Macaca fascicularis: one gene and its partners. The protein of the gene in region 4 purifies or fractionates together with the protein of the main gene of each other region. This does not show direct contact. Links are inferred from orthologs where the notes say so. Each region holds a gene or a part of one and is shown on either strand. Other genes may lie near its edges.

Region 1 (4,060 bases), on a different chromosome or scaffold from region 4:
AGTGTAACCAAAGCTCAAAGTACATCAAAGCAGGACCCATCAGCGGGTACCCAGAAAGCTCCCTCCAAAGGGCAGAGGTAAACACATACATACACACACGCGCGCACACACCACCCCTAAAATTAGTGATCCGTCTTTGTATAAATTACTTGTAGAGTAGCTCGAACCCATTCCTTCAAAAGTTCTGTGGACTCTTGAAGATAGTACAGAACTCAACGTTTGTTTTTCAAAGAGGTTTTAGCCAACACTTTGGCCTCTAACTCAGACTTCCGGGTTGAAATATGTCTTAGAAACTATACCTGCCTACTTCAAAAAGTACCAAATCTAGAGGATGATTTTCATGGGTGTGAAAAAACAAAACTAAACCACATTCTTTTCTTGGCAGTTCTCTTTTCCCCACTCCACTTCAATTAAACTTATTTCAGAATCAACTCGCACATATGCAGGGTCCACTACATATACAAAGGGGAAAAAAATCTCAAAAATAATGGGGATGCACTAGAAACTCTGCCATTGCAGAGACAGAAATTCCTCGCTATTTCCAGCAACACCATTCAACAGGCAAACTTTATTCCCACTGGCTTTTAAAGAGCTAAGCTTAAATCTAAACTCTTAAGAGGGTTCAATTTTCTACTAATGAAAACCCCCGGACAGGTTTTTCAACATACCAAAACGTTATACTTTTTTATTCACCCTTCTGTCTGTCTCCACATCCACCACCATCACAAGCAGCAACAGCAGGAGCATCCTCAAAAGACGAAAACCCCTCCAAAGTGCCCCGAATGTGTGCTGCTGCTGGCTCTGAAGCCGTGTAGAATTTCGTAATGGAATGTGAACTGCTCGTCCGGATCTGGGCTCACGTTCTATCTCCTAACCAGTAAGGAGCGAGAGAGGGCAAATCTGCTGAGCAAGGAGAAATACTTTCCTCCTCTTTTATAACCCATCACGGATGCACGGCTGCCGAGGGGCGCGAGCTGCACGCGGCGCCTGTCAAGCGGCCCGGGCCCGCACCCCGTGGGGTCCCCGCGTCCCCCAGCTCCCCGCCCCGCCCGGAGAGGAAGGCGGCCTAGCCAACCCGTGGGCTCAGCCGACGCGCCCCGCACTCACGCGCGGCCGCGGAGCAGGTCACATCCTCGACGCGCCCTTGGCCCGGTCCAGAAAACACGCCGCTTCCCAGGGAGGGGGTCGGCGACGGGAAGGACCTCCCCTGCTCCTTAGCAACCATTAAGGTCGCAGTTTCCTAAGAGACCGCGAGCGGGGAGGGGGCGCGGGGGGCCCGGCCCTAGGCTTGTGCGGGAAGTAGGGGAGGGCAACAACGGGCCCCCTGCCCCCACCCAGCTAGACGCTGGGGGCCGGGATGGGAGGTGGAAGGGAAGCCCCAGAACTCGCAAAAAACTGGTCCAGCGGGCGGCGGACAAAAGTTTCCGAGCGCGCTCCACAGCTGGGCGGTGGAGCGGGCCCCGGCGGCCGGCCCCGCCTCGGATGCTCCCGGCCTCCTTCCTGTGCTCGTGACGGCGCCGAGCCCCCCACCCCCTCCCCCGCCCGCGAGGCAGGCTAGCTCCACACCGAGGGCTCCCACGAAAAAACGCACCCCGCCAACGGAAGGGCGAGGGAACAATACGTGCCCGCACGGCTCGGGCCCGGTCCCCTCCTCCCCTGGTCCCCCGGGGCAGTGGTCGGCGTGACCACGACCTCCAGCCGGGAACCGGCGAGGGCGCGGGGCTGCCCGCGGCCCCCTCCCGGCCGGCGCCGTCCGCCCGGGAGGATCAAAGTCCGCAGAGCAGGGCGCGGCGGATGCTCCCACCAAGCAGCCCCGAGCAGGCACCCCCGCTCGAGCACCCCGAGCAGACACCCCCAAGCCGGCACCCCCGGATACCTTACGGCGGCGGCGGGAGGGCGGGCGCCGTCATCTCCGCGCTTCCCGGCCCGAGAGGGACTCGAAAGTATGTAGGAGAAAAGTTTCCCCTCCCACATGGGGGGGAGGATGTCGAGGGAGAGAGGGCGGAAGATGGAGAGCAGCGCTGGGAAGATGTTTCTGGCCGGCGGTGCGCGCACCATCCGAGTCCCGGCGGTGCTGGTTAAAAATAAACTCGGCGGCGCGGGTCGGGCCGGATTCCTGCGCTCGGACGGCTAATATGGATGCGCATCAGGTCCTGCTGGCGGGGCGCTGCGGCGGCTCGCGCTGGGAGCTGGTTGGCAGAGCCAGCGGCTCGGGAAAGGGAAAAGAGCGGAGGAAGGGGAGGAGGAGGAGGAGGAGGAGGAGGAGGAGGAGGAGGAGGAACGGCCCGGCGCGCAGCCCGAGGGGAGAGGGCTGCCCGGCTCATCCCTGGCCGCCCCGCCAGCCCGAGCGCACGCTGCGCGGCGTGGGGCGTGCGGGTCCCCGCCTGCGGGACACGCCGAGTTTCTAAAGTACAACGCGCTCTGCAGACTTCACCCTCCCCATCCCCAAAGTTCTTTAAAAGGTCGCTCCGGCTGTGCCCCACATGTCTCGCTGCCGCCGGAGTACCGCGAGTCGGAACCCGGGGCACGTACTTACGGCCGGGCAGGACGCTTGGCTCCCAGGCATGATGCGTTGGGGACCGGTGGGCTTCAGGGAGAGACCGAGGAGAGATGCAAACTTGTTCCGGAAAAGGAATCAAAATGGCGTTTCTGGATGTGCAAAGTTCATCAACTCCGCAGTCACTTCCCCTCCTCCTCTTCTCCCACAGGGAGGGAGGTGGGCGAGGAGCTGGCGACCCCAGCGCCCCAGCCGTCGTCCCGGCCCCCGTCTCGGCCCCCCGCCCAGCTTCCTCGCCCGCACGCTCGGAGTCTCGCTCTCCCCCTCTCACCCTGATAAGTAGACACATCACGTGTTGCTCCTGCGAGTCTCCTGGGGACGTGTTACTGAGCGGCCGCGGCGGCGGCGGCGGCGCTCGGACTGGGGGGGTGAGGGGGAGGACCGCGGTACCCGCCTGTCCCCACCGCCGCCCCCGCCCCGACTTTAGCAGGATGACCGCAGTTGCCATCCCGGGAAGGATGGAGGTGGAGTCCCCTCCCCACCCCCCACCGCAGCCCCAGGTTTGCCCTACGCCCTCCCAAGGCGCCCCGGGCCATGGGAGGGCCGGGCTGCCCGAGGGTAAGGGTCCGGGAGGCCGCGACTGAGCGCGATCCCAATCGTCCCTTTGCTCGCAGGCCACCTTCGGCCACCGCGCCCCCTCCCCTGCAGCCCCTCGCCGCGGGCGACTCCCCGCCCCCGGCTTTCCATCACTTCACTCCGCAGTTTGTTTCACTATTTTAACAGAGGCGGGGGAGACACGGTGATGCCCCGGAATTGCGAGAGGGGCGCCTCGGAGGCGCTGGGGTTGGGGGGATGGGGGGCGTGGGGCTCGGGGTCCCTGGCCTGGCGCCGCCCCTCTGGGTCTGCGAGGCATCTGGGAAGTGGAGCCCCGCCCGAGCCGTTTCCTTTCCACGCGGTCCTCGCTCTGCATCCAGGTGGGGCGAGTGGATGATGGGGCAGGAGATTAAGGAGCAGGCGCTTCACCCCGCCCCTGGCTTCGAGCTGTTTCTCTCCCGGGGCCATCCTTCTTACTCGGGCTGCCGCCCTGAGCGTGCTCGCCGTCTAACAAACTCAACTCCGACTCGACTTTGGTCCCCTTCCCTTACCCACACCCCACAAAGGATGCTTCAGCGGGGAACTGCGTGACCGCCAGGGGCTGAGGACGGCTCCTGCCGCTACTGTGTCCCCACCCCGCGATGGAATGGCTGATGCTGTGTCATCCACGTCGCCCTCCAAGGCTTCAGAGAAGCCACACGCAGTATCTCTTTCTCTCAGAGGGCTCTTGTTTCAACTCTGAAAAGCAGGGGCCCTTCTCGGAGCCGCTCTCCATCTCTCTAGCTCCTGCCACTACGCTTCGCACTGGCTGCCTTGCCCCAAGTTATCACGGAGCCCAGAGAAACCAGGCCTGGGCTGTGCTTCCTCCATAAAGCAGCTGACATGTTTCCAACTGTTAATACTTCTGCTACCGAGGTTCTGAAAGGGGTCTGTTCTCGGCCTTTGGAAACATCTTCAGACAGATAAGGA
Region 2 (4,157 bases), on a different chromosome or scaffold from region 4:
CATTTAAAAAATTACTCCATTCTATAAAACAACTAGCCAATTTATACTCCAATTCCACTATTTAAAAATATGTTTCGTTTAACAGAATACAAAATGTTAACAGAACAAGACCAACGTCTATCTTATCGGGGACGTCCTTTTAAGATGTTTTCAGTCCCTGCACAACCAATCTTTCCTTTCAAAAAGCAGCATAAGCCTCGCGCAGAGGGACACAGACGCTTGTCTAAGGTCACAGAAGCACCGTCTGTGCTGGCAAGTAAATTCCTCAGCATCCAAAAAGCCAGCGCTTTCTCCAGTTTCCTCATAGCTTTTTCGCGTGAGGAGCACGCGGAAACCTCTACCCATGCAGAATGTTTCCAAGAATCACTTCTGACCTGTCTTAACTAAGGAGACTCCCATAGTTTGTGCCAATCAGGTGGAGAATATGGCAAGTATCCAAAATGCACTTCCAAAGACAGGAAAGACTGCTCAGACAGAGGCAGAATTCAGAAAATCTCTCACATTCTCGAAAGCCCGAAAAAGCACCGCCAAGAAAGACTTTTGCCTCTCCTCCACCTCTTTCTCTCGGCGGGAGAGGAAGCCTCGCCCCCATTCATCCCGCCCCTTCTCCCCACCTCGCCGCAGGGAGAACTTTTACCATGGCTTCCTGCGGCCCCTTCACTTCCGGTGCCGGTGCCGCTAGGGCTGCGCCATCCCCCCCAGTCAATCGGACAACCATAGCCTCCAACTGACCTTTCTGACAGCTCTGAGACTCCTCCGGCCAAGACTAGGTGCTGTCCTGGAGGAAACGGTGGAGGACGGACGCACAAAAACCAATCTACCTGATGAAAACTCCGTTCCCTTCTTGCCAGAAACATAAAATGCGATGGAGCTACGGCGACCGCTGCCGAGACAAAATGGCGCCGAGAACCTGGTTTAGCGCAGGCGCCTTGGAAAGACCCTGCCCCGCCCCCGTGCAAGCCCCTGGCTGCAATTCTGGGTTCCGTTTCCATGGGACACTCCGCCGCCAATCCTCGTGCCGAACTGCTCTTCCTGACCCCTCAATTCACCAATCAGTGCCCAGTCAAGCACATCCGGAGTCGTCTCTACCAATCATTTCTCAAGACTTGCTTACTCAATAACCAACTCTCCAATAACGTTGGTCTTCGGAAAAAGCCAATCATAAGTGGAAGATGTCCTACCTGCTGTTTTTCGCACCAATCCATGAAGTTTCAGAGCTACATCCAATGAGGACGGCAGGTAGCGAGGTCCTATCCGAAGCTCTTCGGCGTCATGAACAGCCAATAGGAGTTCGTGTAGAAGCGAGTCTGCTCAACAGCTTGTTATTCGGTGGATTGTGGCAGTAAATCGGGGCGAGTGGGGAACCGGGCGCAGGAACTGCAGCCGCGGTTGGGAGTGGTGCTGCCCGGACGGGGGCCCACGGAGGTCAGAGGGGAGGAGGACTCTGGAGCTGACAGTGCGCACTTCACCCGCAGTTGGTAGGCGGGGAGAGGGGAATCGGGGGATACTGAATGGATGAAGCGGCAGTGGCAGCAGCTGCTGCTGCCCGGGGTCCCGGTGCAGTTGGAAGCTTCGGAGGTGGGGAGAGGGATGCTAGGCAAGTGGCGCGGCGAGCGCAAGAGAAGGGGCCAGCCATGGAGCAGCGGCAGCAACTGCAGGAACCGCCGCCGCAGCTGCAGCCGCCTCGTCCGCTTCCCCGGGTTCCCGGGAAAATGGCTGTGGGGCTGGCCGCGCCGCTAAGTTTGCTTCCGCGCCGTGAGGAGCGGGCTGCTTGGGGGAGCCGTTCCCCAACTCCGCGGCGCGTCCACCTCTGCGGAGTCCGTGGCAGGACTCGAGGGGCTGCGAGCTGATACGTCTCTGGGCTGTACAAAAAGTTGAGGCGGGCGCTGGGAGGAGGCAGCGGCTGCTGCGGTGCGGCTCCCCTCCCCTCCCACACCCTGTCCGGGCCACCTCCCCTCCTCCTCCCCTCAGTCCCCCGCCCCCTCCCCCGCGCGGGTCTCCCGGGGCTCTGGCGGCTCCCGGCTGAAGGCCGCGGCCCCTGCCCCTTTGGGTGAAGGAGCGCTTCTCCTTCCTGACATGGTGCAGAGCAAAGGAAGGAGAGCAATGGCGCCGTGACACTCCGCTGCCGCCACCGCGGGCCCGGGGCGGGCCGAGGGGGCCGAGCAGCGGAGGCGGGGCGCGGGCCGAAGTCGGGGTATCCAGGGGACAGCGGTGCGGAGGCCCGGCGGTCGCCTCCGCGGGGGACCTGGGGAAGCCCGAACGGCGCCCTGCCCTTTTCCGGAGCTATCTGTCCTGGGGCTCCGAGTTCAGCATTCCGGGTCAAAGTGGCCAGCGAGGCGGGGGCGCGGTGGGCCTCTGGCAAGCTCCGGGGCGGAACGGGCTGCCCTTTGGCGCGCGTGGGGTTCTTGTTGCCCCCTCCGCTCCTGCATCCTGGCTGCCCTCAGAAGGGGTCTTGTTCCTTGGCTGGTGAGGATTCTGCCCCTCCCCGCTGGCGTTTGTTTACTTTCTTTCCCTTGGTCGCTCCCCGCAGTTGACTGATTCTGTCTGTGCCTCTTTCCCCCTCCCCGTAGTTCTAGCGACTGCGACGATAGCTCGCTGAGCTGGAACCCCACAGATCACCAACAAAAATGAAGGTAAGTGGAGTCAACGCTGCCCCGATCCTCGCGCCTTGGACACTGCCAGTCGTAAGGCTAGTGCCGTGGAATGTCATTTGTTTTGCTCCTCAAAATTGATGTTCCTACTGATCAGCAGTTTCGGCATAGGAGGATGTGTTGAATGGGTGAGAAATGATCTGTGTGTCTAAATGCGGAGTTTGGGCCCTCTCTGTGGCAGTACTTTGGAAAGGCTGGTGCAGCCTTTCAATTGTTGTCCATTCGGATAGTATTTTTAAACACTTCCTGTGTTGGCAGCAACCTTTGCAGAAGTAAAGCTTTTGTCCTGCTTTGGTTCTTTGGGGGATTTTTCGAAAATTTTTTTCTTCCTCAGTGCCAATGCGATTTTGTAAAAGAAAGAGTACGTGGATTAAGTAATTAAGTAAAGAAGGTGTCATTTCTTCTGTGTGTAAAGTGAACTTATGTGGCTAAAATATTTGAAGTTGAACTATAATAATAGTTTCAGTTAAATCTTTCCAGTAAATATTTTAAAACATATACTTATTCTAAAAAGATACATATTCTACTGAGGATGACTGCAAATATCAATATGTGGATGGTTAAAGGGAAAGGATCTCATATAGCATTCTTGAATGCTGTGGCCATTGAATGTTTCAGGTCAGATTTTTATTTGCCAAAAGCATTCCTATTCAATTTGTATTTTTTGTAAACGTTCTTAAAAGGTAGCCAATTCCTGTCTTATTTACTGTTTCAGTATATTAAGCTCTGAAATATAGCATTTTCCCAAACTTTCTCATGGTTTTCTATTTTCTCCAAGTAAATGACATATTTAACATTCTTTAATATTACTTGGGAAAACTTATTAGAAAACAAAAAATCATTTTCTACTTAAAAACGTATCTCCAAAGTGTACACTGTTAACTTTGCACTTAACAATGTTAAGTTGAACTTGTATGGATACACTTTAACTTCTGAAAAAAAAAAAGGTAAAATGACAGATTGAGATAGCAATCATCCTGTTACTGTAAAGATTAAAATGAATGGTAGAGTGAAATTTCTTGCATCATTCTATGTATCATTCTGGTCATGTCCATTTGCTGAAAGTAGATGTTTCTTAGTAACGCTTGTTTTTTTATACTAAGAAGATCAGTGTGGTAAACTAGGTATGTCTACAGGTCTTGAACCATCGGTTCATATCTGCATTCATCAGCTGAATTCAGACTTAAAACCTTTCAAATGCAGCTTTTAGCAAATGAATTTTCCAAATTGATACTCTCCTTATGAAAAGATGTTACCTTTACGTACCTTTGTCAATAAACAATTATATATTGTTAGTGTTAATATTAGTAGCAATATTTATTTTAATTAATTTGCAAAATTTCAGGAAGCTATAAATGAATAACTTAGTTTTATGATATGTGTAATATGAAATATTTTTTCTGATTTTTTTATTTTTCTGCTTATATAAATAGAATTTTTGAAAAATTTTGTATCTGGAAAAAAAACATTATATTTACTCACTGATAATTTTGAATTACAACTTTA
Region 3 (3,990 bases), on a different chromosome or scaffold from region 4:
AAAAAAAGCAGGTGTCACCGTGGCAGCTTTTATTTTATAACTTAAAACATGATTATGTTTATTCTCTGCTGCTAGGTCGCTGAGCATCAACGTATTTACATCCCCTTTGAAGAGAAGCTTTAAAACTGGCAAGTATGCAGGTGGACTGTATGACACAGTTTTAGGGGTGTAGACTACACTCCACTGTAGACTACTCGACTGTTGACTCTCAGTGGCACTGGCGTATCACTTCTTGCACTTATGATGGCTTCAATTACTGGCCAATTCTTTGTTTAGCAAATAAACTACAAGTTTATTAAATGAGAAATGCCCAGTTTAAAAGGACGTCCTATTATTGGTAAATTACTATGCTCTTAAAAATTGCCTTCTTGTCCAGGAGCGGTGGTTCACCCCTGTAATCCCAGCACTTTGGGAGGCCGAGGCGGGAGGATTGCTTGAGCCCAGGAGTTCAAGACCGCCTTGGGCAACATGGCAAGACCCCTGTCTCTTATTAAAAAGAAGAAAGAAATAAAGAAAAAAATGACCTTTTAACAGTTTGAAAACATCCTGGATGCACACCAAGATCATTCAGAATGCAGTGGAATTTACCTTACCAATTTATAATTTTGGTTTGTGATAAATTAGACAAATGAGAATTAAAATGGCATAATCCCAATTCCGTATTAAACTTTCAGGGTACTCCCACACTAAAACGCTAGTGGTGTGTACAACTAGCCCTGGCGCTCCAGCGGGGGTCGGCATAGATTTACATTAGCAAGGACACGGCAGCACGTTTAAGTAATCCCAGAGCCTCCCCCCTCCCCGGAGTTCTGATAATTCTGACCTTCTTTATGCTTTTACGCTTTATTTTACTAAAATAATACCGTGAGAAAATGAATAGAATCGATGCTCACAAACTCAGTGGGCCCATTGTATGATGAAAGAGCTAATGAACAATGCAGCTGGGGGAGGCGGGGAGCGAGAGCCGGGTTATATCCCCAAGGCATAATTAGGAGTTCACGTATTCGGGTGGAAGTTCCTGCAGTAAAAGGCGTAGCTGCAGCTTCTCCTGGCCCAGGCACTCGCCTACTCTGCTACCCTCGCTTCTTTATTGCCTCTTTTACTACCAGCTAAAAGCGGCAAAACCTAGCTTCCTTTGCAGCTTCTGGCTAAACACTTCTTTCTTGCGGCTTTGTTTAAACAAGAACGATTTAGGGGTTTCGCTACAACGAGAAAACGACGCCGGCCACGGGAAGCAGCCTCCTCGCCTCGGAGTCCGGTCGGGGGGTGCGGGCCGCGCGGGTCCCACGCCCCGAGGCTAAGCAGCCGAAACCACAGCGCGCTCGGGGCCAACTCGGGTTGTATCGCTGGCGCAGATCGCACGTCGGGCGGAAGCTCGAAGCCGCCGGCTCAACGCGCTCAGCACCTGGGACTGGGCCCGGCCTGCAGCCGCAGGGAGCGGGCGACAGGGGCGGCGCCACAAAAGCCGACGCGTCCCCAGCCCGCCTGAGCGCGCCGCAACAGCCACCTCGCCCCACCCGCCCCGCGGGGCGGGGGCCTGGCCAGGGGCGGGGCCGGGGGCGCGGCGCCGGGGCCCTCTGGCCCCCTCCGGTCTCGCCGGCCCCGCCCCCGGCCCCGTCCCTGTCCCCGTCCCCGAGGGGCTGAGGGGGAGGGAGGGGCGACGCACTCCGGCCGCGTTGCACGCTCGCCGCTTCTCTCAGTCCCGCGTGCGCGCGCGCGCTCGCCGCAAGTCCCGCGGAGTTTAACACAATGCCGACGCCTACGCCGTGCGCAACGCCCCGGCCGGCGCAACAGCCCCGGCGCCGGGGGCGGGGGTGGCCCAGACAGGGAGAGGGGATGAGCGCGCGCGAGAGCCGGAGACAGCGCGAGACCCGAGGAGGCCGGAAGCGCGCGTGCGCGCCCCCGCCCGCGAGCGGGAGGCGGAGCCGCAGCAGTAGCGGCAGCAGCTGTAGGAGCCGCTGCAGCTGGGAGAAGCGCCAGAGAGGCCGGGCCTGCTCCGGTCGGACCGGATCCCTCCCTTCCCCCTCCCTCCTCCCTCCCCTCCCCCAAACCCACTTCCGCAGCTCGCGGCCTTGCCGCCGAAGCAGCAGCGGCGGCAGCAGCAGGAGGCGGCGGCGAGGCGTCGGAAGGATTACACACCTGACGGGCCCGCCTCCGAGGGCTCCAGCGCGGGACGCTCACCGGTCGCCGCCGCCCAGGGCGCACTTCGCGGTGGCGGTGGGAAGGGAGGGACCGGCCACGGGGAACGGAACGCGAATCGCCCCCCTCCCCTTCCTCCCTCCCTCCCTCCGATCCGCCGCCCGCCCTCTCGGCTTCCGTCCCCTCCCCCTCCCTCAAAACCCCGGATGGAGCCGCTGCCGACTCGCCGCCGCCTGGCTCCGGGGGATGGTTTTGTCAAGCGGCCAGAGCCCCGGCGCCAGGCGCAGCCGCCGCCGCCCCCGCGAGGCGCCCCTGCCCTCGCTTCCCAGAACCGGGTCCCCGAGTGGCCCGGGCCCTCCGCCTGCCTGCACCCGGAGCCCTGGGACGAGGGTCATTCGGCGTCTTTGTTGCCACTGCCGCTGCCGGAACCGTTTGCGAGCTCCGGTGGCCCCCGCCCCCCCCTCCGCCTTCCCGGACCCTGGGCTGGGGGTGGCACGTGGGCACCGGCCCCGGGAGGCGGAGGCGGTGCGCGCTTACCTGTCGCCGGTGCTGCTGCGGCGGGGGGTGTGGAGGAGGCGCCGCTGGGCAGCCTCGGCCGTGCTGTCCTCCCCGCCGCCGCCGCCGCCTCTGCCTCTCGCTGCTGCTGCTGCTGCTGCTGCTGCCGCCGCGGTCGGTGTCTCCGGCGCGGCGGCGGCGGCGGCGGCGGGGCTTTTCCTGTCCGGTTACGTTAAGGTCACATGACCGAGAGAGCGGAGAGACTTGTGCAAAGAGGCTGCGAGCGGCTCCCGCCGGGGGGGAGAGGCGGCGAGAGAGCAGTGGCGGCAAGAGCCCCCTCCGCCCCCCCCCAGCCGCTCCCCTCCCCCCGCCCGCCTCCGCCTCCTGCTGCTCTGCCGCCGCCGCCGCCGCCTGCAGCACTCCACTGCCGCTCCCACCCAGGCTCCGCGCTCTGCTCCAGCCAAACTTCTGCAGACCATGTGCAGCCGAGGCGAGGAAACTTCTCTCCACCTATTGGGGCTGGAGGCCTGAGTCACAAGCCCCCTTGTTTACATAAAGTGTTTAGGTAGGACAAGTCCTTGAGATGCTCGGGGTAGAGATGGAGAGCCGCTGCTCGTATACTTCTGCCGGCTTCTGCTTGAGATCTTTTGGCCGTTACCCTTGTCCCTTGACTTTCCGTGTTTGTTTTAAATCGGGGAGATACTGTAAACCAGTATCTTCCTGTCACCAATGGTAACTGAAAGTCATGCCGAAGTACAGATGCCTGTACTGTGCACAGAGGTAGAGTTGCTTCCTTTTCCTTGCAGATTAGTTGAGCGACGTAAGATGTTTCTGTTAGGGTTGAATTTGATAGTTATTTCAGCAACTGGATTTTCGTTTTTGAAGTTTTGGCCTCCCAAAAATGAAAGTCTGCAACGCATGTTTGTTAACAATTTATTCTCCTGTTAGGTTTTGGTCTTTGAGGTATGGATTCCAGTGTTGGCTATTCTGTTAGATTTAGAGGTTTGGAAAATCTTTCAACGGGGAGATCCTGAAACATGGCAGATAAGTTAGAATTTCCTGGTCATTTTTAATTTTTTAAAGTTTTGGTTGCCATTTTTCTAGAATTCGTGTGTTTTTTGGGGGAAATGCAGTTTAGTTCTTTGAGGATTGGAATTTAATGATATCTTTACACATCTAGGATTTTTTGAGATTTAGAAAGGATATGGCTGCATTCTTAAGGAAGTGGAGGCAGCAGTTTCTGGGATACTCTGGTTTCAAGTCATGCTAACCTGGTTATGATGTCTAACCCATGTTGGTTTACACAGTCTGACCACCAGCCAATGCCTGGCACATAGTTTAAATCATTTAAGGCAA
Region 4 (3,560 bases):
GGTGGATCACGAGGTCAGGAGATCGAGACCATCCTGGTGAACACAGTGAAACCCCGTCTCTACTAAAAAACTACAAAAAACTAGCCGGGCGAGGTGGCGGGCGCCTGTAGTCCCAGCTACTCGGGAGGCTGAGGCAGGAGAATGGCGTGAACCCGAGAGGCGGAGCTTGCAGTGAGCTGAGATCCGGCCACCGCACTCCAGCCTGGGCGACAGAGCGAGACTCCGTCTCAAAAAAAAAAATAAATAAAATAAATAAATAAATAAATAAATACATTATCTTCACTTATCCCCTCATCCTTCACTAGGAAATAGGCACTAATGTCTTTTTTTTTTTTTTTTGGTCTCACTCTGTTGCCCAGGCTAGAGTGTAGTAGTACAATCACGGCTCACTGCAGCCTCGACCTTCCAGGCTCAAAAGATCCTCCCTCCTCAGCCTCCCGAGTAGCTGGGACCACAGGTGTGCACCACCATGCCCAGCTAATTTTTTAATTTTTTTGTAGAGATGGGGGTCTCACTATATTGCCCAGGCTGGTCTCAAACTCCTGGCTGGGCTCAAGCAATCCTCCCACCTTGGGCTTCCAAAGTGCTAGGATTACAGGCATGAACCGCTGTGCCTGTCCTGTCTTCCTCTTAAAGAGGGAAAACAGGTCGGGCACGGTGGCTCACGCCTATAATCCCAGCACTTTGGGAAGCCAAAGCCGGTGGATCACCTGAGGTTAGGAGTTCGAGACCAGCCTGACTAACATGGAGAAACCTAAAAATACAAAATTAGCCGGGTGTGGTGGCACATCCCTGTAATCCCAGCTACTCGGGAAGCTGAGGCAGGATAATCACTTGAATCCGGGAGGCGGAGGTTGTGGTGAGCAGAGATCGCCCCATTGCACTCCAGCCTGGGCAACAAGAGTGAAACTCTGTCTCAGGAAAAAAAAAAAAAAAAAAAAGGAGGGGGCAGGGAAATAACACCAGAGGGGCCAGGAGACCAAAGATTCAAACTAAGACATGAAAGCTTATTTTCTTACTTTAATAGCAAGCTGCTTCTCTAGTGACAGCCCACTCTGCTGAGAATAGAGCCTGATCCTTGGCCTAAATGGGTTATGGAAACCTCTAAAGCCATCTACAGGAAAGGCATGAATTTGCCTCATCTTGGAGGGAAATAAGACCCTGCAATTCAGAGCAAACACCTCACTCACAGCAGCTGGCAGCTCCTGGAGTTGTCAGTAGCAAAGAAGCTTAATGCTTCAAGGAAGGTCTCTGTGGTTCTGTCATCAATACCACTGTACAGTTATTATTAGTTATAATAATAGTTATAAATACCTTTCTTCCTTGGGAATAAGACTACCTTGTGGTCAGCAGCAATAAACAAGTGCCGCATATTTTCTGACACTTCAATCTAAGCTGTCATAAATTAATCAAAACTTCTTCTGGTCAATGCTGTTACACTATATGAAGTCTTAGGTGCTAAGAGATAATTTCTAAAATAACACAAGGGGGAAGTCAGGTATGATAGTTTTGTTCTAGAATCTGTCCTGAGTGGCCTCTAAATTCTCAATCAATACCCACTAAGTTAAAACAGTTACAGTTGGACAGAAATCAGAGATCACGTGGCCCAGTCCACTTTACAAAAATCTGAGAAGTGACTTGCCCAGTCAGCTGAGAGTTAGAGTTAAATTTTACTGTATCTACTGTCTCTCCGTCCCAGGTCAGTGCTTTTTCCACTACAATAATTACAGTACTCTTGGGACAGTGTTGTGAACATAACCAGAAAAAGTACTACCTCTATTGTTCACAAATCAGGAAACATGAAAAACCCGACTTGAGGGGAAAAAGCACTCTGGCACCTTTAGGAGGTAGGGGAAATCTGGTGTCCACTGAATGGGAGGTGCCAGGACAGCAGAGCGGGCCTCTGCAGTGGAAAGTAAGATGCAACTGGGGGCTTGGGAGTGTGGAGGAAAAGAATGGACTTACATCTCTGCATCTGCTTGCTGTACTCCGACATGTTATCTGGACGGATGGAGCGCAAGAATTTAATGTAGTCGTCACTATGGTACTTGGTCATCTCCTCAGCATTGGCTTTGTGAGGGCGCTAGAGGGCAGAAGGGAGAAAGGGCAAGTTATTTTTGACCACGGCCAGTCCACTCAATCTAGTTTGAATATTTCTATTTCCTGCGCAGCACGGAGCTAGGTGCTATAAAGAATAAAAAGAAATAACTGATTAGATTCAGGCCTCAAGAGATTTACAAGATAACTAGGCAAACAAGATTACCAAAGGAGACAGAGTATCAGAAGGCCTAGAGTAACTCAAGCTCTGTTGCTTAGGCAAGTTACTATCTCTTGAACCTCCATTTCCTCATTTATTAAACAGGGACAACATGGACCACACAGGGAAGTTAAGAGAATCGGAAGAGGTTGTTAAATCTCTTTGTAAACTGTAAGGTGCTTCACAAAATTATTATTATTATTTATTTATTTATTTATTTATTTATTTATTTTATACGGAGTCTCACTCTGTTGCCCAGGCTAGAGTGCACTGGGACAATCTCGGCTGACTGCAAGCTCCGCCTTGTATTTTTAGTAGAGACGGAGTTTCACAGTGTTAGCCGGGATGGTCTCGATCTCCTGACCTCGCGATCTGCCCGCCTCGGCCTCCCAAAGTTCTGGGATTACGGGCATGAGCCTCCACGCCAGGCCTTTTTTTTTCTGTTTTCTTTTTTTGTTTTTTTTTTTTTGAGGCAGAGTCTCAATCTGTCACCCAGGCTGGAGTGCAATGGCGCGATCTCGGCTCATTGCAACCTTCGCCTCCCGGGTTCAAGAGATTCTCCTGCCTCAGCCTCCCGAGTAGTTGGGATTACAGGTGCCCACTACCAAGCCAGCTAATTTTTGTAGTTTTGGTAGAGACAGGGTTTTGCCATGTTGGTCAGGCTGGTCTCGAACTGCTGACCTCAGGTGATCCGCCGGCCTCAGCCTCCCAAAGTGCTGGATTACAGGCGTGAGCCACCGTGCTCGGCCTACAAAATTATTACTTTTTATTATTAAATATTATATAAAACTGGCTGGGTGTGGTGGCTCATGCCTATAATCCCAGCACTTTGGGAGGCTGAGGCGGGCAGATCACCTGAGGTTAGGAGTTCAAGACCAGCCTGACCAATATAATGAAACCTGGTCTCTACAAAAAACACAAAAATTAGCTGGGCGTGGTGACATGCACCTGTAATCCCAACTACTCAGGAGGCTGAGACAGGAAAATCGCTTGAACCCAGGAGGTGGAGGTTGCAGCAAGCTGAGATTGCGCCACTGTACTCTATCCTGGGCAACAAGAGCGAAACTCCCTCTCAAAAATTAAAAATAAATATGTATATATATGTATCATAAAATTATGGACAAAATGGCTCCAAGAGTTCATGAAAAAAGGGTATCTAATGACAACTGAAACAGATGGGAAATCCTTTATAAGTCATCACATCAACAATTTTTATCACATCCTCCCCTTGCCACTTTCTTGACAAGATAATTTCCTGGTTATCCCAACATTCTGATTCCTCCTTCCCTCTTTTTAAAATTCT

Evidence for each region. The genes of interacting proteins can lie anywhere in the genome.
Region 1: the proteins of HDAC1 (region 4) and RREB1 purify together in Homo sapiens (co-immunoprecipitation; 6 studies listed by BioGRID and IntAct, counting the BioPlex papers as one, with this or other methods). This does not show direct contact. The link is inferred for Macaca fascicularis from reciprocal best matches to the Homo sapiens genes HDAC1 and RREB1.
Region 2: the proteins of HDAC1 (region 4) and ARID4A purify together in Homo sapiens (co-immunoprecipitation; 7 studies listed by BioGRID and IntAct, counting the BioPlex papers as one, with this or other methods). This does not show direct contact. The link is inferred for Macaca fascicularis from reciprocal best matches to the Homo sapiens genes HDAC1 and ARID4A.
Region 3: the proteins of HDAC1 (region 4) and ZBTB2 purify together in Homo sapiens (affinity purification with mass spectrometry; 5 studies listed by BioGRID and IntAct, counting the BioPlex papers as one, with this or other methods). This does not show direct contact. The link is inferred for Macaca fascicularis from reciprocal best matches to the Homo sapiens genes HDAC1 and ZBTB2.

What each region holds. Positions count from the first base shown.
Region 1 is NC_088378.1:165,898,732-165,902,791, forward strand, and holds the start of RREB1 (ras-responsive element-binding protein 1), read right to left. Parts: upstream 2,855-4,060; 5' UTR 2,829-2,854; exon of another isoform or gene 2,533-2,828; intron 2,223-2,532; exon of another isoform or gene 1,877-2,222; intron 1,200-1,876; exon of another isoform or gene 1,108-1,199; intron 822-1,107; exon of another isoform or gene 669-821; intron 1-668.
Region 2 is NC_088381.1:126,146,200-126,150,356, forward strand, and holds the start of ARID4A (AT-rich interactive domain-containing protein 4A), read left to right. Parts: upstream 1-1,303; 5' UTR 1,304-1,478; intron 1,479-1,969; exon of another isoform or gene 1,970-2,466; intron 2,467-2,570; 5' UTR 2,571-2,627; coding exon 2,628-2,633; intron 2,634-4,157.
Region 3 is NC_088378.1:59,585,855-59,589,844, forward strand, and holds the start of ZBTB2 (zinc finger and BTB domain-containing protein 2), read right to left. Parts: upstream 2,855-3,990; 5' UTR 2,677-2,854; intron 2,311-2,676; exon of another isoform or gene 2,140-2,310; intron 1-2,139. UniProt on the Homo sapiens protein: May be involved in transcriptional regulation.
Region 4 is NC_088375.1:202,705,718-202,709,277, forward strand, and holds part of HDAC1 (histone deacetylase 1), read right to left. Parts: intron 2,084-3,560; coding exon 1,966-2,083; intron 1-1,965. UniProt on the Homo sapiens protein: Histone deacetylase that catalyzes the deacetylation of lysine residues on the N-terminal part of the core histones (H2A, H2B, H3 and H4).